4 linked regions of the Caenorhabditis elegans genome follow. The protein of the gene in region 1 purifies or fractionates together with the protein of each later gene. This does not show direct contact. Each region holds a gene or a part of one and is shown in the gene's direction. Other genes may lie near its edges. The genes, in order: asp-14, gst-27, Y47G6A.21 and dct-16.

Region 1 (8,047 bases):
TTCAATAAATTAATTTTTTGAAAGTTTTTAATTCAATTTGATTTCGTAAAAGCAAAATCCAACAAGATATAAAAAGTTTGAAACTAACACTTATACTCAACGACAGTAGAGAAAGTGTTAATTCAATAGTTCATCGCTGTTGGTGTTTGTATTTTCAAAATGTTTAACCTTAAAAAATGTTTCTTGTGTATTACAACCCTTTATTATAGAAATAAATTATTTTTATATTTTTTTGACCATTTCACTCGCCGTACCTGTTTATCAATTACCGATAATATTTAACAATACAACTCACCTTTAAGTTACAACTTTTGACCTGCTCAGCAGGCTGTGGTGATCTGAAATCTACAGGTTAAAAACCTACATCCGATTGTGAAACGTTTTCTCTACTCGAAATGGTGGTAAGAGTTTTCTAAGATACAAATTGCTAGAGACCGTTTTTCTTCTGATATAAAAAGCGTTTTAGTAGCAATTTATCTTCATGGAATTGAGATTTCTATATTATAAACATAAGCAACTCTAAAAAACACTAGTTCTCCACTCTTTAAAATCGTCATACTCCTACTTGCTTTTTATTCATGAAACAGTATCATTGCCAATGCAAACAAACAACTATAGAATAATGCCATCCAAACATTCAAGAAAAAATCATCACGTGACTGTTTCGCAATTCAATTTGCATCCAATGTAGTTTTCTCTCTCTTGTCAAAACTTATCTGATATACTCTATTGTTTTATCCAATTGACGTCACTATCATCATCTTATCTTTTCAATTAGATTTGTGAGACCTTATATAGCGGTTTCAGTGGTGCACATCTGTCATTGTCACTGTCTGTGTGCAGTCATTTTTTTTGGTTATCGTTTTGTTTTTATTGGTGGTCGTTTAGTCGTGTATCGACCTTGGCCTATGCGTGTACGACTCCTTTTTGTATTTGTCACTAGCACCCTCTCCAACCTGTATGCTATTTTCTGTTTCAACGCCGCATGCGTGTACAGTTTCGGAGACATAACAGACTGCTGTCTACTCAACTCCATTTTTCAAAACTTGTATTGCTTTGCAGGCTAAATCATGAAATCCTTCGTTTCTGTTCCTCAAAACTCGGATTTCCCAATTCAAAACTTACCGTATGGTGTTTTCTCAACAAAGGCTGACGTAAGTGTATAAATAATTATTTCTAAAGCAAAATTAAACTAAATATTTTCAGTCTTCCCGCCACATTGGAGTTGCAATTGGAGATCAAATCCTCAACTTGGCAGAAATTGCCAATCTTTTTGACGGACCTCAATTGAAGGCACATCAGGATGTTTTCAAGCAGAGCACATTGAACGCGTTCATGGCACTGCCACGTCCAGCCTGGTTGGAAGCTCGTGCAAGAATCCAACAACTGCTCTCAGAGGATTGTGCTGTTCTTAGGGATAACGCTCATTTGAGGTGAATAAGTTGGCAAAACAAATTTGAAAAAGTTAAAAAGTAGTACAAAGTGTGTCTGATAATCTACTAACCAAATCTAAACAACTATTTCACAAGTTTTAATTTTTATCGTTAGTTTATAATTGCAAAGTTGAATCAATACTGTGCAGCAAGTTGGCAAGTTGAAATGTATATAGAAGTATGTGAAAATGTTCGGTCAATCTGAAAAAAATTATTTTATTGAGAACGCCTGGAAACCCGTCAAAGTTTTTGAAATACTTCATTTGACTTTAAATATATCGTTAAACTTTGTTGGCGACTTGTAGGCATTATTTTTAAAAAAATCTATTTCAAAATCGAGAAAAACCTACATTTTTATATTAATTTTTGATTTATAAATTGAAATCTCATACTGTAATTAGAAGCTTTGTACGTTTTGCGCACAACTTACATATAACTCTGTTTAAAACAACCAAGAAACTTTGTAATAATATTCTTATGTTTTTATTTACAGAAGCCGGGCTCTTGTCGCTCAATCCGATGCTACAATGCACCTTCCAGCTCAAATCGGAGATTACACCGATTTCTACTCCTCCATCCATCACGCCACCAACGTCGGAATCATGTTCCGTGGAAAGGAAAATGCTCTGATGCCAAACTGGAAGTGGCTTCCGGTCGGATACCACGGAAGAGCTTCATCAATCGTTGTATCTGGAACAGACTTGAAAAGACCAGTTGGACAAACTAAGGCCCCAGATGGTAAGATTTAGATTTGCACCAATAATGCAAATGTGTCCGCTTTCAGCTGAGGTTCCATCGTTTGGTCCATCAAAGCTTATGGACTTTGAGCTCGAGATGGCGTTCTTTGTGGGAGGTCCAGAAAATGAATTGGGAACTCGTGTTCCAATCGAGAAGGCTGAGGATCGTATCTTTGGAGTTGTGCTCATGAACGACTGGAGTGGTGAGTAACGATGTTAATTAAATATCAAACAAAAACATTTAAACTCGACATTTTGGTGACAAGAAAATTCAACAGTAGTTATTTTCAAGTTTGCTCCATACTCATCCGAAAAAAAACTTTTCCAGCTCGCGATATCCAAGCTTGGGAATACGTTCCACTCGGCCCATTCCTTGCTAAATCCTTTGCCACAACTGTTTCTCCATGGGTCGTCTCAATTGAAGCTCTTCGTCCATACTTTGTTGAGAATCCAGTACAAGATCCAGTTCCACCAGCATATCTCCATCACGATGACCCATTTACCCTTGACATCAATTTGGCCGTCAGTATCCGTCCAGAAGGAGATGCTGTGGACCATATTGTCTGTAAAACTAACTTCAAGGTATGTTCAAGTTTAGTAGAAACGATATTATCTACACTGTTCACTGTAAATTGGATCATAAACGCTCGTTAAGGTTTTCTCAACTACAATACTGTAATTTCTAGCATTTGTATTGGACTCTAAAACAACAACTTGCTCACCACACCGTCAATGGATGCAACCTCCGCGCTGGAGATCTTTTGGGATCAGGAACTGTATCTGGACCAGAAGAAGGTGCATATGGATCCATGCTCGAGCTTTCGTGGCGCGGAGCCAAAGAAGTTCCAGTTGGCTCAGAAATCCGAAAGTTCTTAAAGGACGGAGATGAGGTCAACCTTTCTGGAGTTTGTGAAAAGAATGGAGTCAGAATTGGTTTCGGAGAGTGCCGCGGAAAAGTCCTGCCAGCCGATATCTAAAATCATCGTAATTAAATCGTTTTGCTTTTTGTTTCATTCTCTCGTTTGTTAGTAGTATCTCGTCGAATAAAGTTCTGAAGCCCACGAAAAGTGATGAAAGTGGAAGTGTGCAGTGTCGAAAATGATAGGGGTTTGTCACGATTTTTTGGTTTCTATGTTATCAGTTCAAAGCATGAGCGAATAAATAGGAGAGCTGGTTGCTTGGAAATCATTCTCAGTTCAATCATGATCAAGACAATCTTGCTTTTGGCCTTTGTGGCCTCGACCTCAGCTTTTGTGATTCCTTTCAAAGTTCATGCTGCAGTTACCAACATTACCAAAGGTGAGTATGAGAATTTACAGATTTGTTTCAGATAAAGTGAAATTTGGTGTTTGTAAATGGAAGCCTTTACAAAATTTAAAATGAACATTTAAGCATTATTTTTGATTTTTTTTTTGAATTATTTTCCGAAGCGTATAAAAATTTCGATCACGTTTGATTGAACATGAACATTTAATGGTACATTAACGTTATATTTTATTCAAAATAGGGATAGACACGTAACTGGGAGTAATAATAGTGGAGAGCGGTAAGTTGTTTTAAGAGCACGTATATATATATCCCGAAGCCACATAAAATGTACAGTGAATGAACAAACATTATTTCCTTTACGACATTGAGTAGAATGTATTTAACTTAGAATAAAGCTTATAACTTACAAACACAATGTTGCGGTTGATTTCCAATTATATATTGGTTGTTTTGAGAATTATGAACTGAAACTTGTGTGGTATGATTTTTCCATCATTTCCAACTATTTGAAAACATTTTATATCAACTTTTAGAAAAAAACTTTTTTTTTTTGATTTTTTTGGAATTTTTAAAAAGGGGTATTTTGGCACTTTCAAAATGTCGTAACTTGATCAAACCTGCTCTGAAGCAGCTAAATTTTTGGAGTGATCATCTGTAACTATTCTCTATCGAATGTATATAGTGGCGTAACGAAGTCCGATAACGAGTTCAGAGCCTTCCCTTGTTAGGAATAATGGTTTTCTAAATCTATTACATTCCACTAGTGAATTGTTTTGTACTGAAAATTACTTTTGGTATATAATACACAAGTTCCTTAGATTTTCAAAACTGAAGTTTAATTCCAGGAGGACAAACTCTGGAGCAAACCTCAACCTTCTTCGTTGCTAACTTGACCATGGGAACACCAGGACAACTTTTCACTGTTGTCATTGACACTTCGACCGCTGACATTGTTATTCCAGATATGAGTTGCAGTGAGTTTCAACCAATCGCTTTCTTGATTGCAATTTGATAGTTTTACGACTTTTAAATGTATAAAACATCTCGAACATAATCACGAAATGATGACAGTTTTTGTCAGCTTTTGCTGACAATTTGCCCTATTATATCGGCACTAAAATCGTTTTTTATGTTGATTATCGGTCAAAGACTATCACTTAGTGCACATAACATTCCTAATTTTGAAAACTCCACACTACTGATAAGAGTGAAAAAGATACAAACTGGAAAATGTTTCAGAGACCGCAAATAATTGCTACAACAAGAGAAGATTCAACCAAGCAAAGTCGTCGTCTTACTATGCATATGGAAATAAGTACACGTACAAGAATAATCTTGGAACTTTCCAAGGATTTGATGCAAAAGACACTGTTGTGGTAATACTTTCAATTTGTTTTTTAAGTCCTAACAATTTTTTTCCAGATCGGAGACCGCAAAACTGATTTGATCACCATTCCAGGCGTGAAGTTTATGCAAGCTACCGACCTCGGACTTTTGATGGATGGATTGGGTGCTGATGGAATTTTGGGATTGGGATTCACAGCCTCATCGCAAATCGGTGGAAACTCACCATTCGTTCAAGGTGTTAACGCTGGAGACATTTCGGGCACATTCTACTCCATCTGGCTCGAGCACTTCAACCAAACTGATGATCTCGGAACCCACGGAGTTATTTACTACGGAGGATTTGATCCAGTGCACTGTGCTCCAAACCCAACATACGTCCCATTGGCTTCTGCATATGCATACCAACTCACGATGTCTTCCTTCAAAGTTGTAGGATCATCCGCCACCAACTCCAACAACAAGTACATTCAAGTGAGTTTATTGCATCTCTTATGTATCAACAAATATAAATTTCAGACTTACCTTGACACCACCACCGCCCAAATTGGACTTCCAAAAACTTACATTAGCCAGGTGTTTGACTCCCTTGGCATCAGCACAAACGTTATGAATGCTATCTACCCAACAATTGTTCCATGTAACACTAAGATCACCCTCACTTTTGGATTTGTTTCTGGTATGTCGATTTCAGTGTACCTTCCACTTGTTTTACATAATTGCTCTATTTTCAGGTACAACAGTCTCAATTACGGAAAGAGATCTTGTTATTAGCTTCTTCGGAACATGTAGACTCCAAATTATTCCAACCACTGATAGGTAAGGAATGATTGAGAAGATGGATTGAATCATGCAAAAATTTTTCAGAATCATTCTCGGTCTTCCATTGTATCGTGGACGTTGCACATATTTCGATCCAATCATGCAAAGAGTCGGGTTCACTCCAGCGCTTCTCCAAGATTAGTGTTAATATTTGAAAGTGGAATAAAAATAAATCATTAAATTTAAAAAGTGCCGTTATGCGGTTCATATTCAGATTCATTTGAGAAATTTCTGAAAACATTGTAAGACTATTGGGATAGTTGGGAATGGGTTTAAGAACATATTTGATAGTATTTCTGATCTACACATAGTAATGTTCTACAAAGTTCTAGAGTGTTTCAAAAACTTTCCCAAACTTTCAGAACGTTTTATATTCTCAAATATACAAAGATTTCGAAGAAAGTATCTTAAACTTTCCAAAACTGATCATTTTCTGAATGTTGAAACGAACTAACTTGCCTACTATGTAGTTAGAAGCAGATTCTACATAGGGCGGTTGGAAGAAGTTAAACATAGTAGGCTAGTTAAAGCATTCGCTGTTGCATGTGCAACCGGTCGGTCCAAATAACGTCAAACAAACAAAAGGGACTAAAAAATTTTTCTATTTAAAAATTATCAGTAGAAATGTTAGTAAAAACATATCATTATTCTGTTCTAAAGCTTATTGGATAATGACTGACGAAGTTTGACTCATTGTATCGAATGATCATTTTTTAATGTAAACATTCACATCTAACAATTACTGTATGGTTGTCATAAAATACAAAATGACATTTTCCATTTAATAAAAAAGATCATCAAACATCACCCGACATATTCAAAACGATTTATTTGTTACATTGTCTGTTTTGTATTGTGACTCAAACTGTCTCATAAATACTGCTTGAAACACATAACTATATAAGAACCTGTCTTGCAACAATTCATTAAAATCTTCACCATGCTAATTATACTTGTTGCGGTTTTTTTAGCTCAAGCTAATGCCAGAGTGGTTGACATAGCAACCGACATTGTGAACATGGCTGCTATAAAAGACCAACTAAATTACGAATGTAAAGACGTAAAGGAGCAAACTCAATTCCAAAATTGCGGCAGCTCATTTTCAGTAAGTTTCCCAGAAAATAAGTTGGTGACAGTAAAATATTTCAGAAAAGTTTGGCGATTATCCAAAACTATCAAAACAACTCAACAAGACAACCAACTCTTCATGAAGAGCTGCTTTCACTTAATAATGTAGTGAGATGGATGTCATTATGTACAAAAAAACAATGAAAATGTGTGTAGTGCACAAATAAAAATTCATGAAATTACCTCTAAAATCACTGAAATCGTTCATAGCTTTTCCACAGAAATGAGTCCGAGTGACTGTTGGAAAGAGGTACTTTTAAAATGGTTTTTTTGGTGTATGTAAAATGATTGTTCAGGACGAGCTATATCACCAATACGTTTCTTGCTCAAACAATTATGGATTAACAAATAGAAATACTCTAAAAGAGTTGGACGTTCTCCGTCAAAATCAAGACGCAATTGTCACCTGCTTAGATCAACACATGGAATCTTCTCAAGGATGCAACAAAAAAAATCGGCACGAAGTCGCAACAATCGTGAACAAAATTGTAAATTTGTATAATATGCTCAATCCTGATCACAATTGCAACTAATTCTCTTCGTTGTTGACACTATATGAGATGTTAAATAATGAATAATCGAGCATTTCAACACATATTGAATATACACCGAATAATGATAAATTTCACGGAACAAATACGATTTGCAAAATATACTTTTTAACTGCTTCTCTAAAATTTGAATATGCACTTTGTCATCGTCGACATTTCGGAATGTGTGAAAATAGAGCCAATGCAGCAAAAGGAAACAATTTGAAAACACTTGCTTTAAAACAATTAGTTTATTGTTGCAATATTTTAAAAAAGTGTCCAAAACATGCTAGTACTTTATTTCAGCTTTACGTGTTAAAACTTTACAAATACCGTGATGTTTTAACTGATATGAAACATTGCTCGCCAAATATGATGTTTTCCACTTAAACAAAACAAATTGCGCGTCAGATATGATGTTTTTAAATGAAATAAAAATTTTGCGTCAAATATGATGTTTTCATCTGATATAAAATATTGAGTGTCAGATACAATGTTTTCAACTGAAATTAACAAATTTTTAGTGATTTCAAAAAACATACTGTAGGTATTCCGAAGAAGTGAAAAATCGCAATATTGAGTTTAAAATACTGTTGTGAAGGTTACTCTCTTCTTGATCTAAAATAATATGTAAAGTAAAAAGAAGTTTGAATTTATGAACATCAATATTCACATTGATATAATTGAAAATTCTAAGAACACATAATTTTTGACAGTTTCAATAGTTGCGTTATAACGGACAAGGCAGAATGGAACTAATGTTTGATGTCGGGAACAATGACTG
Region 2 (6,744 bases), on another chromosome or scaffold:
CCTCTTTTTTTTTCTCTTATTTTCACGTTTAAATAAACGTATTCAATAATAATAATAATGTATACTGTTCAGATCAAACGAAATTCTTCCTAAATTTTTGTTCAAAAATTTCTTATTGAAAATTTACAGTCTATTTGAAGTATTTGTCAAAAAACGGGCCCAAGAAATTTTCAATCACAAATATTTATCTGAAATTTTCCAACTATTTTATTTTTTCCAGAAACTCCATTTGGCCAAGTTCCAGTTCTATATGTGGATGGATTTGAAATTCCACAATCTGCTGCAATTATTCGCTACCTTGCCAATAAATTTGGATACGCTGGAAAAACTCCAGAGGAGCAGGCTTGGGCAGATGCTATTGTGGACCAATTCAAAGATTTCATGAGCCTATTTAGAGAGTTTAAACTTGCACAAAAGGCTGGAAAATCGGATGTGGAAATTGCCAAAGTTGCCTCAGAAGTTGCAATTCCTGCTAGAGATTCGTATTTTGAAATCATCACAAACCTCCTTGAAAAGAGCAAGTCAGGATTTCTCGTTGGAGATGGGCTCACATTTGCTGATATTGTCGTGGTGGAAAGTCTTACCAACCTGGAGAAAGTTCATTTTTTCGATGCATCGGAGCACCCGAAATTGGCAGCTCTCAGGGAGAAGATCTACGCAATTCCGGCAATCAAAAGCTGGGTGGATATTCGACCAGATACTATTTATTAATTTAGTTTCTGGATTTCTTTTGTGAATAAATTGAAATAAATTCAGAAATATTCATGCAACTATTTTTATACTTACAATTAGAACAATTTTATTTTGGCGGGGACCGCGGACAAATAACGGGCGAGACCACAAATCAGGGGTGGGCGGAAAACGATTTTTTCTGGCAAATAGGCAAATAGCCGGAATTGAAAACTTCCAGCAAATCAGCAAACTGGCAAATTGCCGGACTTGAAATTTTCGGCAAATCGGCAAATCTGCAAATTGCCGGAATTAAAAACCTCCGGCAAATCGGAAACCGGAAAATTGCGGAATTAAATTTTCCGAGAAACCGGCAAATCTACAAATTGCCGGAATTGAAAACTTCTGGCAAATCGGCAAACCAGAAAATTGCCGGAATTGAAATTTTCGGCAAATCGGCAAATCTGCAAATTGTCGGAATTAAAAACCTCCGGCAAATCGGAAACCGGAAAATTGCGGAATTAAATTTTCCGAAAACCCGGCAAATCTACAAATTGCCGGAATTGAAAACTTCTGGCAAATCGGCAAACCAGAAAATTGCCGGAATTGAAATTTTCGGCAAATCGGCAAATCTGCAAATTGTCGGAATTAAAAACCTCCGGCAAATCGGAAACCGGAAAATTGCGGAAATAAATTTTCCGAGAAACCGGCAAATCTACAAATTGCCGGAATTGAAAACTTCTGGCAAATCGGCAAACCAGAAAATTGCCGGAATTGAAATTTTCGGCAAATCGGCAAATCTGCAAATTGTCGGAATTAAAAACCTCCGGCAAATCGGAAACCGGAAAATTGCGGAATTAAATTTTCCGAAAACCCGGCAAATCTACAAATTGCCGGAATTGAAAACTTCTGGCAAATCGGCAAACCGTCAAATTGGGCTCAGGCTCAGGCTCAGGCTTTTGAAGTCCTAGTTTCAACAAAACCAAAAACCACAACCAAAAACCAAAGTGGCAGGAAACGGCAAAAGATCAATCGTTTCAAATTGTTCAAACACAACCAAGCATCAACTGCCAGCACACGTGAAGGCAGAGACATAGACGGTAAACATATAGTATAAAAAGGGTTGGCAAAGTTGTACAGAAAAATAATTGATGCGATTATTTTGTTGTCCAATTATTTTCGGCGTTCCAGTTTTCCTTTTTTGCGTATAAATACTACTTCATTACAGAAAAGTTGTCAAAAATGCCTACCTACAAGCTCACCTATTTCAATGCTCGTGGATACGCTGAGGCCGCACGTATCCTCTTCCACTTGGCAGATGTTCCATTCGAGGACTTCCGTATGACACACGGAGATGGAACATGGGAGAAGCTTAAAGACGGTTAGTGGAGATTTGGGGCCTACCGATTGCCTGCCTATCTTATTATAGCGCGATATTTTGATAAGAAGTTATGGATGGCATTCAAATTTTAAAAAAAGTTCTGACAATAATGGGAAAGCCAAATTTTCTGAGCACACGGTCTTGGATGGGTTAAATTTTTTTCAAAAAATTGTAGGCATCATTTTTCGTAAAAAAGGCATTCCAAATTAAAACAAAAAATTATTTAAAAAATTTCGCCGGAAAAATCAATTTTTTTTATAAAATAGTTTTAGGGCTATGTATATGTAATTGTTTCGAAACTTTTTTAGCGGGAAATTCACAATAAAAAAAACATTATTTTTCACGATGAAGTTTTGGATGGGATTCGAATTTTAATCTAAAAATTTTTTTCTAGAAACTTTTACAACTTCTGGAGCTTTTTGGAAAATTTCTGAAAATTTTGAAATTTTTAGAATGCTCCAAATACTTACTCACATATATATATTTTTTCAGGCGCCCCATTTGGTCAAGTACCTTACCTGACCGTTGATGGATTTGATATCCCACAATCTGCTGCAATAATCCGCTACCTTGCCAACAAATTCGGATATGCTGGAAAAACCCCAGAAGAGCAGGTTTGGGCAGATGCCATCGTTGATCAGTTCAAGGATTTCATGGGATCATTCCGCGAACGTATCATGGCACATTTCGCTGGAAAATCTCAGGAAGAAATTGCAAAGATCACTTCTGAAGTAGTGATTCCAGCTAGAGATTCGTACTTTAAGATTCTCAATGGGCTTCTTGAAAAGAGCAAGTCAGGATTCCTAGTCGGCGACAGTATCACCTTCGCGGACATTGTCATCTCTGAGAATATTACTACTTTGGAGAAAAATCAATTGTTTGTTGCTTCGGAGCAACCAAACTTGGCTGCTCTTCGAGAGAAGGTCTATGCAATTCCAGCTATCAGGAAGTGGGTAGAGGCTCGTCCAGATACTCAGTACTAAATCGAAAATTTTCTTGAAATTTTGTTCAATGAAGTAATATAATTACAAATTCGAATAAATTTTTAAAATGCACCACTATTTGCATTCTTATTTGCAATTTTCCTCTCAATCGCAGCTGCCTTCTTCCTCTAAAACCCGCACTCAACATCATTCTCAACAACACCGTTTCTGCCAAGTGCACGCGTGGCCTGCTGGATAACGAGTTGGTCTCTCGTTCCGACTGCCACAGGTTCGTGCCCTCTCACCGCCTCTCTACCAAACACTTGCAAGTTCTGTTTATTGCAAGTGCATGGAAGAGGCGAATAGAAAACGGAATGATGTCCACTCCTTCGATTATCGTTCATTGGATTGCGGGCACTTTACCTCGTTCGACATTTTTTATTTTAACTTAAAGTAGAATTTTGGATTTTATTGACTCTCCGTCCGAATTTTTATTGACTCTTCTCCCACCTCCCCCCCCCCCCCCCCATCCATTTCTTGGTTTTTGGTTTATTGATCTCCACGACAGTTTGATAACACTTTGCGGAGGAATTTTTCCCAATCATTTTGCTTGCAGAATCACACAAGAAAACTGTCTGGTTGTGGTTTTCATTTAACTAAAATGCCATCCTACAAGCTGACCTATTTTAACGTGCGTGGATATGGAGAACCAGCTCGTATTCTGTTCCATCTTGCCGATGTTCCATTTGAAGATTTCCGAATGACCATTGGAGATGGAACATGGGAAAATCTCAAAGCCAGTAAGTAATAGCGACCTTGAAACGCCATATTAAAATTTAAAAAAAACTGAAATAAAGTAGCCAAGACAGAAATTGAACATTATTTTTTGTTTCTATTTAGAAACTCCATTTGGACAAGCCCCAGTCTTATCAGTTGATGGATTTGAAATTCCACAATCCGCTGCAATCAACCGCTACCTTGCCAAGCAATTCGGATATGCTGGAAAAACCCCGGAGGAGCAAGCCTGGACTGATGCTATCGTCGATCAATACAAGGATTTTATGGTATCAATCAAAGAAGTGGGAAAAGCAAGCGCTGCTGGAAAGTCTGCCGAGGAGGTCGGGAAGATCATCCAGTCAGATCTCGTTCCGGCAAGAGATGCATTCTTTGTGATAATCAACAAGATCCTTGAGAAGAGCAAGTCCGGATTTTTAGTTGGAGATGGTCTAACCATCGCAGATATTGTGATTGTGGAATGCATCACAACTTTGGACAAACATCAGCTCTTCACTGCATCGGAGCAACCAAAATTGGTCGCGCTTCGAGAGAAGGTATATGCGATTCCAGCAATAAAGAAATGGGTTGAGATTCGTCCAGATACCCTGAACTAGGTTTGTTTTAAATGTGCTGATATATTAATTCAATAAATCGTTATGTTATGTTCATGTAATCTCATTTTATTTTCAAATACGTTAATTCTGAACGTGTTAATTCTATTTTTAACTTTATTTTTCTATCTAGATTGAAGCTAAACTCAGTTCTGTTCAATTTTACAGTTAAAAAAATTTTATGGTCCAGGATACATTTTTTAAAATTGTACAATTGACCTTAAATTGTTATTTTTCTCTGAAATACTTTGTAAAAATTAATCATGGTTTGACTTTTTCTGTCAAATATTTGATAAGACTATGCGGAAAGACTGCATTTTTCCAATGCTATTTCGAAAAATTGTTTGATATCGGAATCACACTATCACACATACCTATATTTAAAACAGACAGATCACTATGCCTTCCTACAAACTCACCTATTTCAACGCTCGTGGCTACGGAGAAGCTGCTCGTATTCTCTTCCATCTTGCCGATGTTCCATTTGAGGATTTCCGTATGACCCATGGAGATGGAACATGGGAAAAGCTGAAAGAAAGTAGGTCATTTATATGTGGCAAACACTAAACTCAAAGTAAGTATTTCAGAAACTCCACTCGGACAAGTCCCGGTCCTATCCGTCGATGGATTTGAAATTCCACAATCTGCTGCAATCATCCGCTATCTTGCCAATAAATTTGGATATGCTGGAAAAACCCCGGAAGAGCAAGCTTGGGCAGATGCCATCGTTGACCAATTCAAGGATTTCATGGGATCCTTCAGAGAAGTCGGAAAAGCACATGCCGCTGGAAAGCCAGCTGAGGAGATTGCAAAGATCATGCAATCAGATGTCGTTCCGGCTAGAGATGCATTCTTCGTAATCATCAATGGGATCCTGGAGAAGAGCAAGTCAGGATTCTTGGTTGGAGATGGGCTCACTTTTGCCGATATTGTAGTTGTGGAGTGCATCACAACTTTGGACAAAAATCAGTTATTCACTCCAGCGGGAGAGCCAAAGTTGGTTGCTCTTCGGGAGAAGGTCTATGCGATTCCAGCTATCAAGAAGTGGGTCGAGATTCGCCCAGATACTCAGTACTAAAGTTTGTTGTAAATTGTTTGATAATTGAATACAATAAATAGTTTTAATATCTCCTTGTAAAAATTCAAATTATTGTGGGAATATAAATTCACTAGTGTAATTTAATTTTCTAAAAATTTCATAGTTCTGTTCGCTACAGTAACAGTGCTGCTTGAGTACCGAAGATAATTCTCAAGTGCTTCGAACCACTCTTTTCATTTATTTCATACTCATATGTAACCTAAAACATAGAGCTGTGTACTGTTTTACTATTGAGTACGAAAATTTTATTTCAAACATGTTATCAAACAATCAATGGAGATGTGAACAACCCGTATTAGATGATAATACAATCAATGGAAAAGAAAATACCCTGGGTTTTCAAAAAAACATACAAACTACAACAAAACGCTCTATGAAGCCAATTCCATCGAATGCGGAGTAGGAGCAACTGCACGTTTCCGTCGGAATAAGAGCTTAATGTCATGCGTTAAAATGAATATTACTGGCAACAGAATGAGAGCATGAAGCATTCCAAGTATACCGACCAGGATCACAGTCTTCCAGAATACTGCTACAACATACGCACGTACAAACATCAATGGGAACATGCCAAGAATCGTGGAGAGCCCGGACTGCATTACTGGCCAGGCGACTCCGCGGAAGGTGCTTAGAAGACGGTCACGAGTCTCGGCGTAGTTATGTGATCTCCAGAGTTGCTCCTAGAAAAATATGAAGTTGGTTTGAAAATGGGGTACGGTTGTTTGGTATGGTGGATGTAGTGTGAAGTATGTAAACATCGTGTGGGGCTGTCCCATTACGGTTTGATCTACAAAAAAAATGCGGGGATATTTCGCCAAGAGAAATGTGTTGAAAATCAGTTGAAATCTCTGCGTCTCAACTCCCGCATTTTTTGTAGATCTACGTATTTCAAACCGAAATGGGACTCTCTGACACCACGTGATGGTACAATAGTTTAAAAATAAGATCATAGATTAGGGTACTGTAGGGTTAATGCATGTTTCAATTTTATAGTATAGTATTTGACTAGAATGCCAGTACAGTAAGGGGTACTGTAGCTCGGGCGTCTTAATAAGTGGCTTAGCTTGATGGGATTACTGTAGAGCTAATTTAAGTCAGCCACACACAACTTTTAGTGTTGTGATTCTTTATGAAACGGAGATTCCTCGTAGAAACGGAATCCCAGGTTACTGTATTTTAGACTACTGTAGATTAAGTTTTTTGAAACTATTTTTTTACAGAACTACAGTGCTCCCACAGTACCACAGAAGAACTCCTACACTACTCCTACAGTGCCCCTACAGT
Region 3 (8,155 bases), on another chromosome or scaffold:
TTTGGACGAATTGACACATTGGTGGGGGGTTATTTTTGGAAAGTTATAATAAAATTTAGAACTATTACGGGAACATAAAAATAAATAAAATTCTGAGAATTCGTACTGCACAACATATTTGACGCGCAAAATATCTCGCAGCGAAAACTACAGTAATTCTTTTAATGACTACTGTAGCTCTTGTGTCGATTTACGGGCTTGATTCTCATAATCAAGATAATAAAGCCCGTAAATCGACACAATCGCTACAGTAGTCATTTAAAGAATTACGGTAGTCTTCGCTACGAGATATTATGCGCGTCAAATGTGTTGCATTACGCATTTTCAGGATTTTGTGTTCCCGTTATAAAAAATTTTAGTTCAAAATTCTTTTTGAAAACGTAATAATTGCGAATTTTGTAAAAAAATGCACAGAAAATTATCCAAATGTGAAGTTTTGCGACTACTATTGCGTTACAAATACGGTATCTGGTCTCACCACGACTAATTTTTGCAACTTGTAAAAAGGTGCGCGCCTTTAAAGAGTACTGTATTTTCTTTTGTTTCTGCGGAATTTTCATCGAATTTTATACTTTTCGATAAAAAACTGTTTGAAAAATTAAAATTTATATATAAAAATCGAAGGAAAATTTGAAAAAATTCTGTAGTATATGCGAGTACTGTAGCTCAGTTTTGCACCCAAATTTAATTATTTTTTTTAAAATTAAAATTATTTTTGTCGCATTTCACATTAAGATTCAGAGATCTTAGAATTTTTATTTTTTAAAATTTTTTGAGAAAAAAGTTTGCGCGCTTTTTTAGATACTTTTTTTTTCGAATTTTCCAAATTTCTGCCTAAAGAGTTTTCTCATTTTTATTTTCGAGAAAAATTGCACCAACCTGTAAAAAGAAAATATGGGGATAACGAAAACATTTAAAAAAACTCTCCAACCGATTCTTGAATTATTAAACCCTTAAAATATTCTAAATTTCAGATCAATTCGGCCGGGATTCTGCGTGCCGGACCAGTTCTCGATTCTGGAATTGAAGTCTACGATGAGCTAATGAATGTGAATGTTCGTAGTTTGATCCGCCTGACACGTGCAGCTCTTCCACATATTATTACAACAAAAGGAACTGTTGTCAATGTCAGCAGTATTAATGGACCGTGCCCTGTATGATGTTATTTTTTTGTTGAAAATAATTTTCAAATTCGCAATTTTCAGTTCCCAAATGTAACCTATTACTGTATGTCCAAGTCGGCCGTAGATCAATTCACAAAATGTTTGGCTCTCGAAATGGCTCCGAATGGAGTTCGTGTTAATGCTGTTTGGTGAGTTTTCTCGCGATTTTTGCCAAAAAACTACGGTGCCAGGTCTCGAAGCGATCGATTCTCTTTAAGGAGTACTGTAATTACGATTTTTTCGGTTTTTAGGTTTTTTAAAGAAATATTCGAAAAATAAGAAAACATATACATTTCTTCCAAAAAGAAGAAAAATTGTCAAAATTTCAAGATATTTTGCGAAAAATCGGAAAAATATTTATTTTTGAAATCGAAAATATTTTTGGCTTTTTTTTTTTCGAAAAATCGAAAAATTATCGGAAAATATGAGTAAGAACGAAATCACAAAAAAAAACTAGGAAAATTTCCTGAAAATTCTAACTTTTTGCCGAATTTTCATAGGTTTTCTTGTTTTTGTTCAAATTTTGATGCATTTTTATATTTTTTGAATAAAAACGAATTTTTTAAAAGACAGGAGCTAAACTATGGAAAATTGCTTTAAAAATCTCGCAAAAACTAGGAGTAAGTAACTACAGTACACTACAGTACTCCTTTAAAGGCGCACGCACTTTTGAATTGAAAAAAAAAAGATCGCTTCGAGACCGGTTACCGTATTTTGGTGCAAAAATCGCTAACTTTCTCATTTTTTGTCGAATGAAACGCTAACAACACACGTATTACGGGAACACAAAATTTTGGGAATTCGTCTTACGCAACATATTTGACGCGCAAAATATCAAAACTACAGTAATCCTTTAACTGACTACTGTACTGCTTGTGTCGATTTACGGGCTCGATTTTGGAAATTAATTTATTTTCTTCGTTTCTTCGTATTATTTTCTCATTTTCAATAATCTTTTGATAAATAAAAAAACCCGTAAATCGGCACAAGTGCAACAGTAGTCATTTAAAGAATTACTGTAGTTTTGATATTTTGCGCGTCACATATGATGCGCAATACGCATTCTCAAAATATTGTGTTCCCTTAATAAACCCATATAAATTTGTCATTTCTCCAAAAATTTCAGCCCAGGGGTCACCGTGACCAACCTGCATCGTACATCTGGTCAAGACGAGACAACATATTCTGCGGTATAAAACCTGCTGCACTGACCTTGACAAATAAATATCATCATTTCTTTCAGTTCTTGGAACGTAGTAAAACGACACACGCACTCGGCCGTCCCGGTGATGCCAATGAAGTTGCTGAGGCAATCTATTTCCTCGCCTCTGAGAAAAGTTCATTCACTACTGGAGAACTTCTTCGTGTTGACGGAGGCCGCGGAATCATGCATCCGAGATAAATATTAGCTTTTTTGTCTCATATTGAGATTGTTTTGAACTTTTATCATGTAATAAATAGAGAGATACATGTATTTTTTTTAATTGTGTTTTTATTGAATCCTTTATAGTGGTTTTTTCCTTGCTTAATTTTTTTTTTTTTTGAAAAAAAATCGATTTTTTTTTGATTCAGTTTTGAATTTATTCAGAGTATCCGAAAATGCCAGTCGCCATCATCACCGGAGCAAGTTCGGGAATCGGAAAAGGCACGGCTCTTCTGTTCGCGAAAAAAAAGTACCAACTCTCGCTGACCGGAAGAAATACGGATTCTTTGAAGGAAGTCGCAGCACTATGTATTTCAGAGGGTGCAATTTCGGCTGATGATGTGAGTTTTATATTTTAGGAACTGTGACGGAAAGTACAGTATTACGGGAACACAGAATTCTGAGATTGCGTATTGCGCAACATATTTGACGCGCAAAATATCTCGTAGCGAAAACTACAGTAATCCTTCAAATTACTACTGTAACTCTGGTGTCGTAAATCAACACAAGCGCTACAGTAGTCATTTAAAGAATTACTGTAGTTTTGATATTTTGCGCGTCAATTATGTTGTGCATTACGCATTCTCAGAATTTTGTGTTCTCATGATAGCAGTTATCACAAAAAAATTTCGATTTTTTTTCCTCGTTTGTAATTTTTGGAAACACCGTTTTTTTGTCGAAAAAACAAAAAAAATTATTTTTTTAATTAAAAAAAACCGCCGCCATGGTCTTGACACATACAAAAAAAAATATTAAAACTCATCGAATATCAAGAAGTATACTAAAAATCATTAAAAATTACAAACACTTGCAGGTACTGTAGCTATGAATTTTATTATGTCGTTTCGAGACCAAAAATCGCAAAATTTTGCAAAAAAAGGGGATTGAACGTTTTTAGGTGGAAAAAATAGCGACATCAATTAAAAAATCGATTTTCATTCCAGATTCTGATAACTGCAGTGGAGCTGAGCTCTGATGAGGCGCCCAAAGCAATTGTGGATGCAACTGTACAAAAATTCGGAAGAATTGACTCATTGGTGAGGATATTCAGTTCGAAACAATTTGAAACTATCGAGAGAAAAGTTTTTCGGAAATTTAGAGTTTATCCATTTATTATTTACAAAATTTTCAGAAACGCGTACATAGAGGATCACGGATTTATTCGGTTGGGTCTTGCCACGAAAAATGTTTTTGCGCGGTGAGACCCAACTAGATAATTGCGTGCGCCTTTAAGTTCGTATCCCAGGAACAATTGCGGAACTACAATAGGTTTTTTTTCAATTTTATGAAGTCAATACTATTCAAAATTTAAACTTGAAAAATAAAAAACTTCACTTTTCCAGGATCCATAGTTTTTTTTTCGAGAAATTTCCCATTCTACCCTTAAAATATTCTAAATTTCAGATCAATTCGGCCGGGATTCTGCGTGCCGGACCAGTTCTCGATTCTGGAATTGAAGTCTACGATGAGCTAATGAATGTGAATGTTCGTAGTTTGATCCGCCTGACACGTGCAGCTCTTCCACATATTATTACAACAAAAGGAACTGTTGTCAATGTCAGCAGTATTAATGGACCGTGCCCTGTATGATTTTTCTTTTGGAAATTAAAAAAAAATATATTTCGAATTCGCAATTTTCAGTTCGCTGGGGTCACATATTACTGTATGTCCAAATCGGCCGTAGATCAATTCACAAAATGTTTGGCTCTGGAAATGGCTCCGAATGGAGTTCGTGTTAATGCTGTTTGGTGAGATTTAAATATTTTCATATTAAGAGCCCAAAAATTGAGAATAATTAAAATAAATTTCAGCCCAGGAGTCATTGTAACCAACATTCATCGAGCATCTGGGCAGGATGAAGCTACATATGCGGCAGTAAGTCTATTCTAACGACACGCAAGAAGTAATGGGCGGAGTCGGAAGCGCAACTCCGCCGCACGATTCTATTTTAATTAAAATTTTAACTGTTTTTTTAAAATATTCACAGCAAGATCAAATAATTAAAGTAATTCTAAAGCAAGATTTCGATTATTCAACCTGACAAATTAAGATAAATTGATTGTTTGATTTTTAAAAATGCGGAAAAATAGACGAAAAACAGTGCGGCGGAGTTGCATTTTCAACTCCGCCCATTATTCCTTGCGCGCCCTTTTCTGTGGGTCAAATTCTACACAGCGACATTACGGGAACACGAAATGCTGAGAATGCGTACTGCACATCATATTTGACGCGCAAATTATCTCGTAGCGAAAACTACAGTAGTTCTTTGAATGACTACTGTACTCGGTAGTTTGGCTCCCTTGGCGCGCGACGAGGGTGCGACTGGCGCGCGGACGGGGCGCGACTAGACTACTGTCTCGCGATCTAGTCGCACAATTTTCGCGCGCCGAGCGCATTTCTTTCGCACACACTACGCGCCCGGTTCGATTTTTTTCTCGCTCCCGCCGATTTTCATATTAAAATTGAAATCTTAGATTAATAAGAATTGCGTTTATTACAACAACGAACAATGGAAAAATAAAATTAAAAAATTAACGGATTGAAGACAGCTTGGCTGCAGGTCAATTGAATCCTAGACGGCGAGAGACTGGTGTTGCAAACCAGCTAGAGCTACTATGGCAGCGCCGAATGTGATTTTGGAGAGAAGATTCGAGTCGTTGAGGTAGAAAACACGACGGAGATGTGGATAAACTGCCATCATGGCGAGCTGCTCGAAGATCGGTGAAGAGGATTGACCAATCTGAAATATTAAGACGGTGAAACCGCAGTTGAAGCTTATAAGCTTATAAGCTAGCCTACATTGCCCGTCGAGAACTTGATTGGTTTCGGGAGCTCAAATTGTCTACAGAATTCCTCCGGCGGCACTTCCCAACGCTGGTCAACTTCTTCCCGTTCAACTTTTGTGGCAATCATGACACACGGCGTTTTTGTTCTGTAAATATTGAAATTATTGGGAATTGGATCTTGAAAACCCACCTATAGAAATATTTCTGATAAACTGTGGCGCAGAACGCGAATGAATTCGAGACATCATAGAGGAAAGCGACGACGGCCGCCGACGTCTCGCCGGACCCCAGCGCATCTTGTGGTGAGAGAACATCAACTTCACGCAGAAGCAGGTACTTGCTCTCCTCTTTCACTCGGACACGATTGATAACGAATGGAGAATGACGACGTCCTATTTGTGCTACATCAGCCATTCCACGTCCTGCTAGGGATTGCATGAAGACTGTTTTTCCAGCGTCCTTGGCTCCGACTACCAGGCATTGGAAGACTTTTCGGTCGGTTCCATGGTTTTCTAGATCCTTCTTCCGTTCACGAGTCACTCTGATCGAGTCGAGTGTATTCCCAGCACGACCTGAAATTACAAAAACTGAATAAAATGAATTTTTAATGAAGATCTTTTTTTTCAAAATTTCCACCTGCCTGGAATTATATTTTTATTGAATTGTCATTTTTTCGTGCAAATTCGTGCAGTTTTAGGTCCGCTTCTCCTCCTTTATATAAAATTTAGTGAAAATCTCCAATTTCGCGGACTTTTACGTGCCGAAGTGATCGGAAATCAGTCAAAATTGGACGGACAATAACGGAAAAACGAGGGATAAGCAATCAAAAGCTGAAATAAAATGTATTTTATTTTTTATATTTTAACCGACATCTTTGGTAATAACTGGAACCGGGCATACTGAGAAGAGATTCTGAAGTTCACTCGGAGAAAGACATCCATCGTTGTCTCGATCGCAAATTTTGAAGACTCGAATCAGTGCTTTTCTGGCGCGATCTGTCAGTTGTTTGGTGTCTGCATCGTATAATGGCCTTGTTGGGTAGATCACAGCTTTCTGGGCGTAGTAGAAGATTTCTGAGACGTTTTTCATCGTGCGAGCCGAGCATTCAACGCAAGTTTCGACTTCGGTGTTTGCCTCCATTATGGGGAGAATCTTATCAGTATTATTTGCAGTCCCATCTGATTTGTTGCCTACCAAAATGACCGGAGTCTTATGGTACTCTCCGAAGGACTGGCGAATCAAGGGTAGCCACCTGAAAATTCAAAGTTATTGATTTTTTAACAGATAATTTCAATGAAAACGTACTTTGTTTGAATTCCATCAACAGTGGACTCGTCTGTAACCGAGTAGACGACACAAATGACATTCGCCTGGCGGATTTCCAACACAATCCAATTTTCATCTGAAAATTGATTGAATTATTTGATTTACATGTTTTTGGCAATTTATTTACCTTCTTCCTTAATCGATAAGTCCACGATACTCGTACAATTCCGAAAAGCTTGATTTTAGAGATACTTTTGTTATTGATGGAACAATCGGTGAAAATTTCACGGTCACCATATTTAACTTGAAGAAAAGCCCTGAAACTATACACTTTAGGCATGTTACTGTACAAAACAAAAAGAAAATAATATTTTTACAATGTTGGAAACAATTAAATAAAAATTATCGAAAATGTGCCAAAAAATTATAAACTGCAAGCGTAATAACGGATTGTCGTTCGTGTTGCGCGGACGGGGCGCGGAAGGGGTGCGGAAGGAGTGCGGAATGGGCGCGGATGGGGCGCGGTCAGAACGCGGACGGCGTGCAAAAACAGTTTCTCTTCGCGAACCTGTTACTTTCAGACAGCCTCATTGCCAAAACAGGTTGATATATATATCTTCACTTATATGTTATATATGTATGAATGATGTAGTTGATATATAATAATTGCCAATCTAGTCTCTTTCAGCTTTCAGTAATATGGTGCCACAATACTAAACGTATAAAATACAACAACGAGACATGTGATCCAGAAAATTAGTTTGAAGATGTTCACACAAACTACACATATATATTTTATATATTTCTATTGGAAAATATACCTGGCATTTAGGGGAAACTTTCTTAGGGATGTGTGCATCGTGCCTCCACAATGCCAATGCTGCGAGTTTCCTAATCTCAGATAAACGTGTTAGCTTCTATTTAGAAGGAATAGACCTATTTAGTAGAATCGGAAAACTAATTAGAGCTAAATAGAAGAACTAGTTCTAAATAGATCAGGGTTTGATCTAATTAGAACAGCGTAAAAATGGCAGATCTATTTAGACCTAAATAGAAGAGGGTAGATCTAAATAGAAGAGGACGACACCTAATTAGGTCAGGGATTTCGACCGTTAGTGTGCAAGCATAAAAGCGCGTCAGCAACGAGCGGTTTTGCCCAAAAGTGGATGTTAAATCTGAAAAATTGAAAAAAAAAATTTTTCAAATATTTATGAGATATTGTAGAAATCACTTACTTGGTTGTTTCTATACATTTTCTTGCCAAAATAGGTGTTTTCTATAAGTCAAACCGACATTCCTTGGGGCTCTGAACAACAAAACCTCCTGTCTTAAAACGAATGTATCCAATTCTAGAGGCGAGGTATCAAAAAGCCTTCAACTACAACCATGTTAAGTTCGAAGCAATAAACGTTTTCATAGTTGCAGGCATTGTCCAGAACTGAGATATTGTTGAGCATAGATCTAGCATATTTTGGTTGTCTTGGAGCTCACATCTCCGCAGCCACTAAAGATAACTA
Region 4 (6,959 bases), on another chromosome or scaffold:
ATTTTTTTTTTTAATTTGTTTAAATTAGTGCAACTTGAGCCATCCACCAATCAGCTACATAGCCACTGTCCTCGACTATTGGGCCGGTGCTACAGAAGAAAACTCCCGCCGGCTGGTTGCAATATTCGGAGTTTTAATGACAGCTATTCAATATCTTACTCTGAAATTCGTTATGAATCCCAAGTTTGACATTGTGTCCCAGCCCTCCTTTGCTCTGAAAACTATGGCCATATCTGTTGCATTGAGTACACTACTAACGTTTTCTTATTTTTTCAGCTTTGAGTTTTTTGAAGAAACGTGGGTACTGCCGAAAAAGTGAGTTTGATGATTGAACCGAGTGAAGTCACACCTTTGAAAAGATAATTTAAAGGCGGAGTAGCGCCAAAAAATTTTATATTTACTGTCAAAAAGTGATAATTACTCATTATCAGTTTTGCAAATTATAATTTTGGAAGTCAACCAAAAAAATTTGTTTTCCTACATTTTATATACTTTCATTTTGTTTTAATTATTTGTATTAAAACATTGTCGGAATCGGAACATAGGACATGGCTATCGATTTTCTCAAAGTCTCTTATTTTTCAAATTTTTGGCAATTTACCAAAAATTTGACTGGATATTTCAAATAATCTAAAAAATTAATCATTTTTGATTACTTTATTGTGTTGGATAATAAAATAAACACAGAACTGTTCCTTTCAAGCAATTGTTTTCCAACATCTAGTAGCTCATATCCATGAATATATATTTTGGAAAACACAATTTTCCTAGAACAAATTCAACAAGTATTAGCATCAAATTTTTTAATAGTATGTAGAGTTAGAGGCCAGTGACGATTATGTTAAAAACACTCAAATTTTTAGATTTTCAAATTTTCATAGTCAGTGAAAACTTACTACATAGTTAGGTGAGGTTAGGTGAAGTGATGTTACTGCTTACAGTTAACGTGTCAAAACTTTGAAAAGTTTCACACATGTTAACATGTTTTCATTCTCTACACCTGTTTAAATTTAACGTTGTGAGTTGATCAGGTGCACCGGTTTCCCGAAAAACTTCACCGCAACCCAATACATTTCAACGATGACTGACGCGTACCAAGGTGGAAAAGAATCTAAAAAATATACAATTTACTATATCATTGATGGTTCCATAAAGGTTAGTTGGAACCATTTTTTCACTTTGATAATTTGATTTTTAGGCTTGCCTCGCAATTCTTCTTCCCATCCTCACAGCTCTACTAGTTGGACAGCTGAGAAAAATGATCGCTCTGCGGAAAAAAACGTCTTCGTTGAGAAATGATAATGGAAGGCAGGTTTTTCAAAATTAGGCCTTGCTTTCTTTAAGAACAATTTTCAGTCAATCTTCGGATTAAATCACGAAGCTTGTAATTCTGATGGCAATTTCATTTATCACTGCTGAATTGCCAATTGGGATTCTTTATATCTCCACAGGGTTGCTCGCTAGTCATCCGGCAATTGTGTAAGAGAATATAATAATAGTCATTAAACGGGCGGAGTCTAATGGAATTTGCCTACAAGTTGGTCAAACTTCGCGCTAAATTTTTTGGCCAAAATCTTCTAATAAATAAAAGGCAAACATCAAAAATTGTTTGAAAATTTAAACAAGTCGAGATAATATTTTCGGCGTTTCAAAATTTCATCAAGCATTCAATTTTGTTTGAAATTTTTGGTTAAATTTCAGGCAAAAAGTTAAAGAAATTTCTAGTTTAATAATGAAATGTTGAGAATTTTTTGTAAATTTTCTAAATTGAAACAAAAATCCAAAAACTTTACACACAAATTTATAGGACGAGAATAAAGTTCAACAACTGAGATTAAAGTTCTAAAATTTCCAAACAAAATATATATTTTCAATTCAAAATAGAAATATGGAATTATTTTTAAAAAACTGCAGTTTTCTAATTTCAATTTTTAAACTTTTTTTTCTTAAAACTTCAGCAAAAATTAAATCAAGTTTCAAGTATTTTCTGTAAATTTCAATTTATCACTTCTTATTAGAATATTAGATTATCCTTTTGGTAATTTTTTTTAATATAATGGTATTGCTTCATCAAAATTTATTTTTCAGAACTACCATACGCTATTTGATGGATATTTTCACGTCATTTGTTGCCATTAACGCCACCGTTCATTTCTTAATTTGCCTCGGCGTAAACGCTCATTATCGAGACACTGTTAAAGAGCTATTCCGCTGGAAATTTGAAAAATTGAGGAAAACTTCAGATGACTCAACTATGAATTCTCAGAGTGTTGGCCAACCTAGAATTGTCGCTTGATCAATTTTTTTTCAAATTTTTCTACTTTCCAATTTTTATTTTGAACCCCGTGTCCTCTTATTATTTTTGAAATTTAATTCCGCATCCCATCAAGATTACCCTCCGACCAGAACCTCGTCAGACCCCCACCCACACCAGCGCACGTGATAATTAATCATAGTATACCTATACTTGTTGACTATATCCCCCTTAATTCCCATGAGAAGCATCTCATGTGTCTTAATTGAGGGGTACACAGCGAGTTGTAAAGAGGTTGTCCTTAACAACCAAATTTCTGAATCTTTTGCAAACTCATTGCTTTGAATTTCACAACTAAAATGAACCCCGATGCTCCGAGTGTCGAGGAGAAGCTCACCGTCGATGAGTGCTACGTTATTTCCAAGGTGAGCTGAGATTTATGCTAACAAAAAAGCTCGAGTGTTTTTCTTATTTTCAGGAAGATTGGTTTGAGCCAATTTTCTGTAAGCCGAAGCTTATCCCGTTGAAGACTGTGAAAATGCGAGAGATCGAGAAACGACGCAATGAAAACATGGAGAGGGTCAAGGCGATAGAGGTGAGTTTTTTTTTGAGAAACATATAATTTACTTATTTACATTCTTTTTTCAGACAGCTTCAACGTCAGAACAAAAGAACCCAGAGGTGGTACCCAAGGAGCCAAAACCAGAAAAGCCTCGGAACCCGGAAGAGCTCAAGAAACAGAATGAGTTGAACAAGATCGATTTGTGGATCGCCGACGAAGATCCGGCACGTCGCAAGTGACTATTGTCTACTTGTAAACAATAATCCTAACAATCCTATTTTTAACTCCAAACTTTTCGCGATTTCAATTTTCAAAAAACATTCCAGACAACCTCTAAACCTACATGATCATCCTAGTACTTCTTGGCCCAAGCGCTATGTCCAAAAAGTCAGGTCTACCCTATGTACTGCCGTGTAGTCAAACAAGCTTCACCATCATGCCATTCACCTTCTTCCCATCATTTCTCCTGCCCTCTTATCTCTAAAAATTGTGATTTCTGATTATTTCAATAAATAATAAATATGTTTTGCGTTGAAATTCTGGTCATTGAGATTTTTTAGGTGGTCTGTAATCATGGGCTCTTAAAACTTTGATACACCTGAGCTTAGGCCAAAGCTAATCCTTAAAAAAAAGCTAAGCCTAAACGCTAAACCGAAGCTATTGGGATTATTCATGTGATGCCAAAAAATGCACAAATGATTTTTATACAGTTTTACCCTATCCCTAAAAACGAAGGCATTTTTTTTAATTTTTCAACATTTTTCGACATTTATCTACATCGGCCGACAGCCCGCTTCACATGAAAAATGTAGAAAAATGTAGAAAAATGCAAAAAAAGCATGTGTTTTTTTTACATTTTTCTACACACATGAATAGATAGGGGAAAAATGTAAAAAATACATTTTTGCATTTATCGTCATCTCATGAATAACCCTATAAAGCCTAAGCCTGGGCCATAGTTTTTCTGGAAAATATCAGACATTAATCTCTATTTGCCACATGGATTCCAGCAAGTTTCCACGTTAAAATCTTCGCGAGCCGTCATATCACTAAAATTCCTTATCTACATAGTGTTCTTGACACATCATTAAATTAGTTGCTCGCGGAGCAACAACTGCAAAAACGGTCTTCGTTCGGAACACGTAAGCATGCAAACACGCGCTGGAAGAGCAAAGTGCATGCGGTCACAAACATTTTTTCTCGGTATAAAATGCCAAGCGGGGTGCCACATTTCGGCATAGGCATCAATTTTCACTGCTGCTGCTGCTGAATCAACACTAAAAATGGCCGAGAAACGTGAGTTTTTGGATGTATGCTTATTTTTTCAAGAATTCATGTTTTTTGTTCAATTTGAAAAAAATTTAACAATAAGACCGAAAATGGCGAAAAATTGAAATTTTCAATTTTTGTTGATTTTTCGGCAGAAAAAAGTATGTAATTCTTTAGCAAGTTATTGTTTTGATTTTTTACATGTAATTGTACAATAACCTCATATTCCAGATATTATAGGATACAACACCAAAAAATGATTTAATTTTTTACATTTTTAGATGTCAGGCTGTCCCATTTTGGTGAGATCTACAAAAAAAGCGGGAATTTAGACGCAGACTTCTCAACTGATTTTACATGGTTAAGAACATGCTGACACGTCACATATTTTTGGAAAAAAATTCCCGCATTTTCTGTAGATCAAACAGTAATGGGCAGTCTGACACCACACGCTTCCAATAAAAAAAGTTTATTAAAAATATCGGAAACTACCCGAACATACAACCAACTTGAAAAGTACAGCACACACGTGGTGTCAGGCTGTCCCATTACGGTTTGATCTACAAAAAATGCGGGATTTTTTAACCCAAACAAATGTGACGTCAGCACGTTCTTAACCATGCAAAATCAGTTAAGAAGTCTGCATCTCAATTCCCGCCATTTTCGAAGATCTAAGTAGATCAAACCACGCAAATTACCTAATAAAAATCCAAAAATTGAAAATTTTCGGATTTTTTGTAGGTCTCCTAATACCCTACTAATATGTAAAAAAAATTTCAGTCGCAAAAGCCAAGGAGGAGATGACAGCCGCCGGTCTCTCGCCAGAATCCATCGAGGGAATTCTCAAAATCGCCGCCACTTACAAGAAGAAGGACGATGAGCCAGAACGTGATGCTGCCACTTCTTTGGCAATTATCACAAAAATGATCGGAGAGACCAATGAGTATATTAAGGGACAATCGGAAGCCGATCAGAAGATCTACGCTGTCATTATTGAGAAGAAGAAGGCCGAGCTTATCGAGGCCGCCAAGAAGCAATAGATTTTCTTTTTGTTTTGAAATTTTATTCTATTATGAGCTTGTAATAAAATAATTTTTGTAATTTTAAACTTGTAATGGTCACATACTTTTGGGAAAAAAATTCCCGCATTTTCTGTAGATCAAACAGTAATGACACCACGTATTTCTAATGAAAAAGTTCCTTTAAAATTTCGGAAACTGCCCGAACCTACTTGACCTACTTGAAAAGTAATGTACATACATGGTGGCTGTCCCATTACGGTTTGATCTACAAAAAATGCGGGATTTTTTTGCCCAAAAAGTGCACGCTTTTATCCATGCGAAGTCAATTGAGAAATCTGCATCTCAATTCCCGCATTTTTCGAAGATCGAAGTAGATCGAACCACGCAAATTTAATTCAATTATGAGCTTGTAATAAATAATTTTTTTGTAATTTTGAACTTGTAATGGTCTTTCCAAGTGATTTTTCATGGAAAATATATTCTTGTAAATTTTTTAAAAATCTCTATTTTTTCTTATAAAATCAGCTTTTTTTTCGATAAATTTTTGTGACAAAAATTGATTTTTTAAGATTAATTTTTCGATTAAAACCCTGAAAATTTTAAATTTTTTTTCGAATTTTTTCGATTCGATTTTTTCCCAGACAGTTTTTCGAATTTAAACAAAAAATTCATAAATTTCTATTTTTTTCTACATAAAAAACACAATTTGGCACATAGAAAAAAGGCGGAAAAATCACATAAAATATGCTTAAAAATTGGAAAAATCCTGAAAATACGGGGCTTCAAATCACATAAAATATGCTTTAAAAATTTCAGAAAAAACCGAAAATTATGAGTTTTGTTTCTTCAAAAACTGATAGACGACACCGAAATCCTTTGCCTGGTACTGTGGATCACGAGCCAGAATACGGTAGATTTGATGAGCCAGTGAGCCCATTGGAGTTGGTGCTTGAGTATTTGTTGAAGCATTTTGAGCCAATGAAAGGTCTTTTGCCATTAGAGTCGTTCCGAAGCCGCCAGCATAACCCTGAAATTGGAAATTTTAGGTTGATCGGCGGAATTTAGGAGACTTTCATTGAAATTTTTGAATGAAATTTCTGGCAAATCGGCGAATTGGCACATTGCCGGAATTGAAAATTTCCGGCACACCGGCAAACCGGCAATTTGCCGAAAATGAAAATTTCCGGCAAATCGGCGAAACGGCAAGTTGCCGGAATTAAAAATTTCCGGCAAATCGGCAAACCGGCAAGTTGCCGAAATTGAAAATTTCCGGCAAATCGGCAAATTGAAGGAATTGAACGTTTCCGGCAACTCGACAAACCGGCAAGATGCCGATTTGCAAAAATGTTCCAGATATTCGATTTTTTTTTTGAAAATTTCAACTTTTTTGAATTATTTTTAAATCAAAATTCCTATTAAAATCATCAAAAAATTGGAAAGTTATAAATTTAAGCTAAAAATTCAAAAAATGGCGAAATTTAATTTTTTAAATGAATTTTTTGAGGACAGAATCAAATTTTGAGATTTTTTTTTTGCATTTTTACGGATTTTCAGTCAATTTTCCATCCATACCCTGCACGAAGGGATGTTTTCAATGACTCCGGGTACTGGATTGTACGTGTCCGACGACCAACACCTTCCTGACGATGTATTCACGATTCCGGCAAGCGCTTTCGCGTCGAGACCCATTCTGTAAAAAAAATTTTGTTGAATTTTTTAGAAAAATATATTTAATTTCAATTTTTTGCGCTGGTCGTTTTACTTTGCTGATGTGGGAAAAAAAATGTTTTTCAAAATTATTTTTGACGAAACTGTTTTTTTAGAATTTTGGTGGGCGGCATTGTTTCGTCAA

The links.
Region 2: the proteins of asp-14 (region 1) and gst-27 fractionate together in Caenorhabditis elegans (co-fractionation; one large-scale study listed by BioGRID). This does not show direct contact.
Region 3: the proteins of asp-14 (region 1) and Y47G6A.21 fractionate together in Caenorhabditis elegans (co-fractionation; one large-scale study listed by BioGRID). This does not show direct contact.
Region 4: the proteins of asp-14 (region 1) and dct-16 fractionate together in Caenorhabditis elegans (co-fractionation; one large-scale study listed by BioGRID). This does not show direct contact.

What each region holds. Positions count from the first base shown.
Region 1 is NC_003284.9:6,441,932-6,449,978, reverse strand, and holds asp-14 (Peptidase A1 domain-containing protein), read left to right. Parts: upstream 1-3,314; 5' UTR 3,315-3,372; coding exon 3,373-3,469; intron 3,470-4,284; coding exon 4,285-4,413; intron 4,414-4,678; coding exon 4,679-4,815; intron 4,816-4,861; coding exon 4,862-5,257; intron 5,258-5,302; coding exon 5,303-5,462; intron 5,463-5,517; coding exon 5,518-5,602; intron 5,603-5,650; coding exon 5,651-5,747; 3' UTR 5,748-5,794; downstream 5,795-8,047. Other genes in the region: fah-1 (Fumarylacetoacetase), read left to right, coding at 1,071-1,154, 1,207-1,433, 1,927-2,171, 2,218-2,373, 2,499-2,752, 2,857-3,147; K10C2.7 (uncharacterized protein), read left to right, coding at 6,546-6,710, 6,755-6,877.
Region 2 is NC_003280.10:15,162,560-15,169,303, reverse strand, and holds gst-27 (glutathione transferase), read left to right. Parts: upstream 1-3,595; 5' UTR 3,596-3,634; coding exon 3,635-3,773; intron 3,774-3,873; coding exon 3,874-4,364; 3' UTR 4,365-4,414; downstream 4,415-6,744. Other genes in the region: gst-29 (glutathione transferase), read left to right, coding at 221-711; gst-28 (glutathione transferase), read left to right, coding at 1,912-2,050, 2,543-3,033; gst-26 (glutathione transferase), read left to right, coding at 4,761-4,899, 4,949-5,439; ptr-20 (SSD domain-containing protein), read right to left, coding at 5,832-6,140.
Region 3 is NC_003279.8:3,554,404-3,562,558, reverse strand, and holds the start of Y47G6A.21 (DeHydrogenases, Short chain), read left to right. Parts: upstream 1-2,751; 5' UTR 2,752-2,762; coding exon 2,763-2,927; intron 2,928-3,530; coding exon 3,531-3,623; intron 3,624-3,990; coding exon 3,991-4,170; intron 4,171-4,227; coding exon 4,228-4,334; intron 4,335-4,397; coding exon 4,398-4,461; intron 4,462-5,156; coding exon of another isoform or gene 5,157-5,326; intron 5,327-5,385; coding exon of another isoform or gene 5,386-5,518; intron 5,519-5,562; coding exon of another isoform or gene 5,563-5,944; intron 5,945-6,012; coding exon of another isoform or gene 6,013-6,202; intron 6,203-6,272; coding exon of another isoform or gene 6,273-6,624; intron 6,625-6,677; coding exon of another isoform or gene 6,678-6,774; intron 6,775-6,825; coding exon of another isoform or gene 6,826-6,978; intron 6,979-8,155. Other genes in the region: Y47G6A.22 (DeHydrogenases, Short chain), read left to right, coding at 1-21, 975-1,154, 1,206-1,312, 2,290-2,353, 2,407-2,565.
Region 4 is NC_003283.11:20,496,149-20,503,107, reverse strand, and holds dct-16 (DAF-16/FOXO Controlled, germline Tumor affecting), read left to right. Parts: upstream 1-4,050; 5' UTR 4,051-4,099; coding exon 4,100-4,112; intron 4,113-4,865; coding exon 4,866-5,125; 3' UTR 5,126-5,184; downstream 5,185-6,959. Other genes in the region: dct-14 (DAF-16/FOXO Controlled, germline Tumor affecting), read left to right, coding at 2,614-2,679, 2,733-2,849, 2,903-3,055; B0250.5 (putative 3-hydroxyisobutyrate dehydrogenase, mitochondrial), read right to left, coding at 5,937-6,134, 6,680-6,797.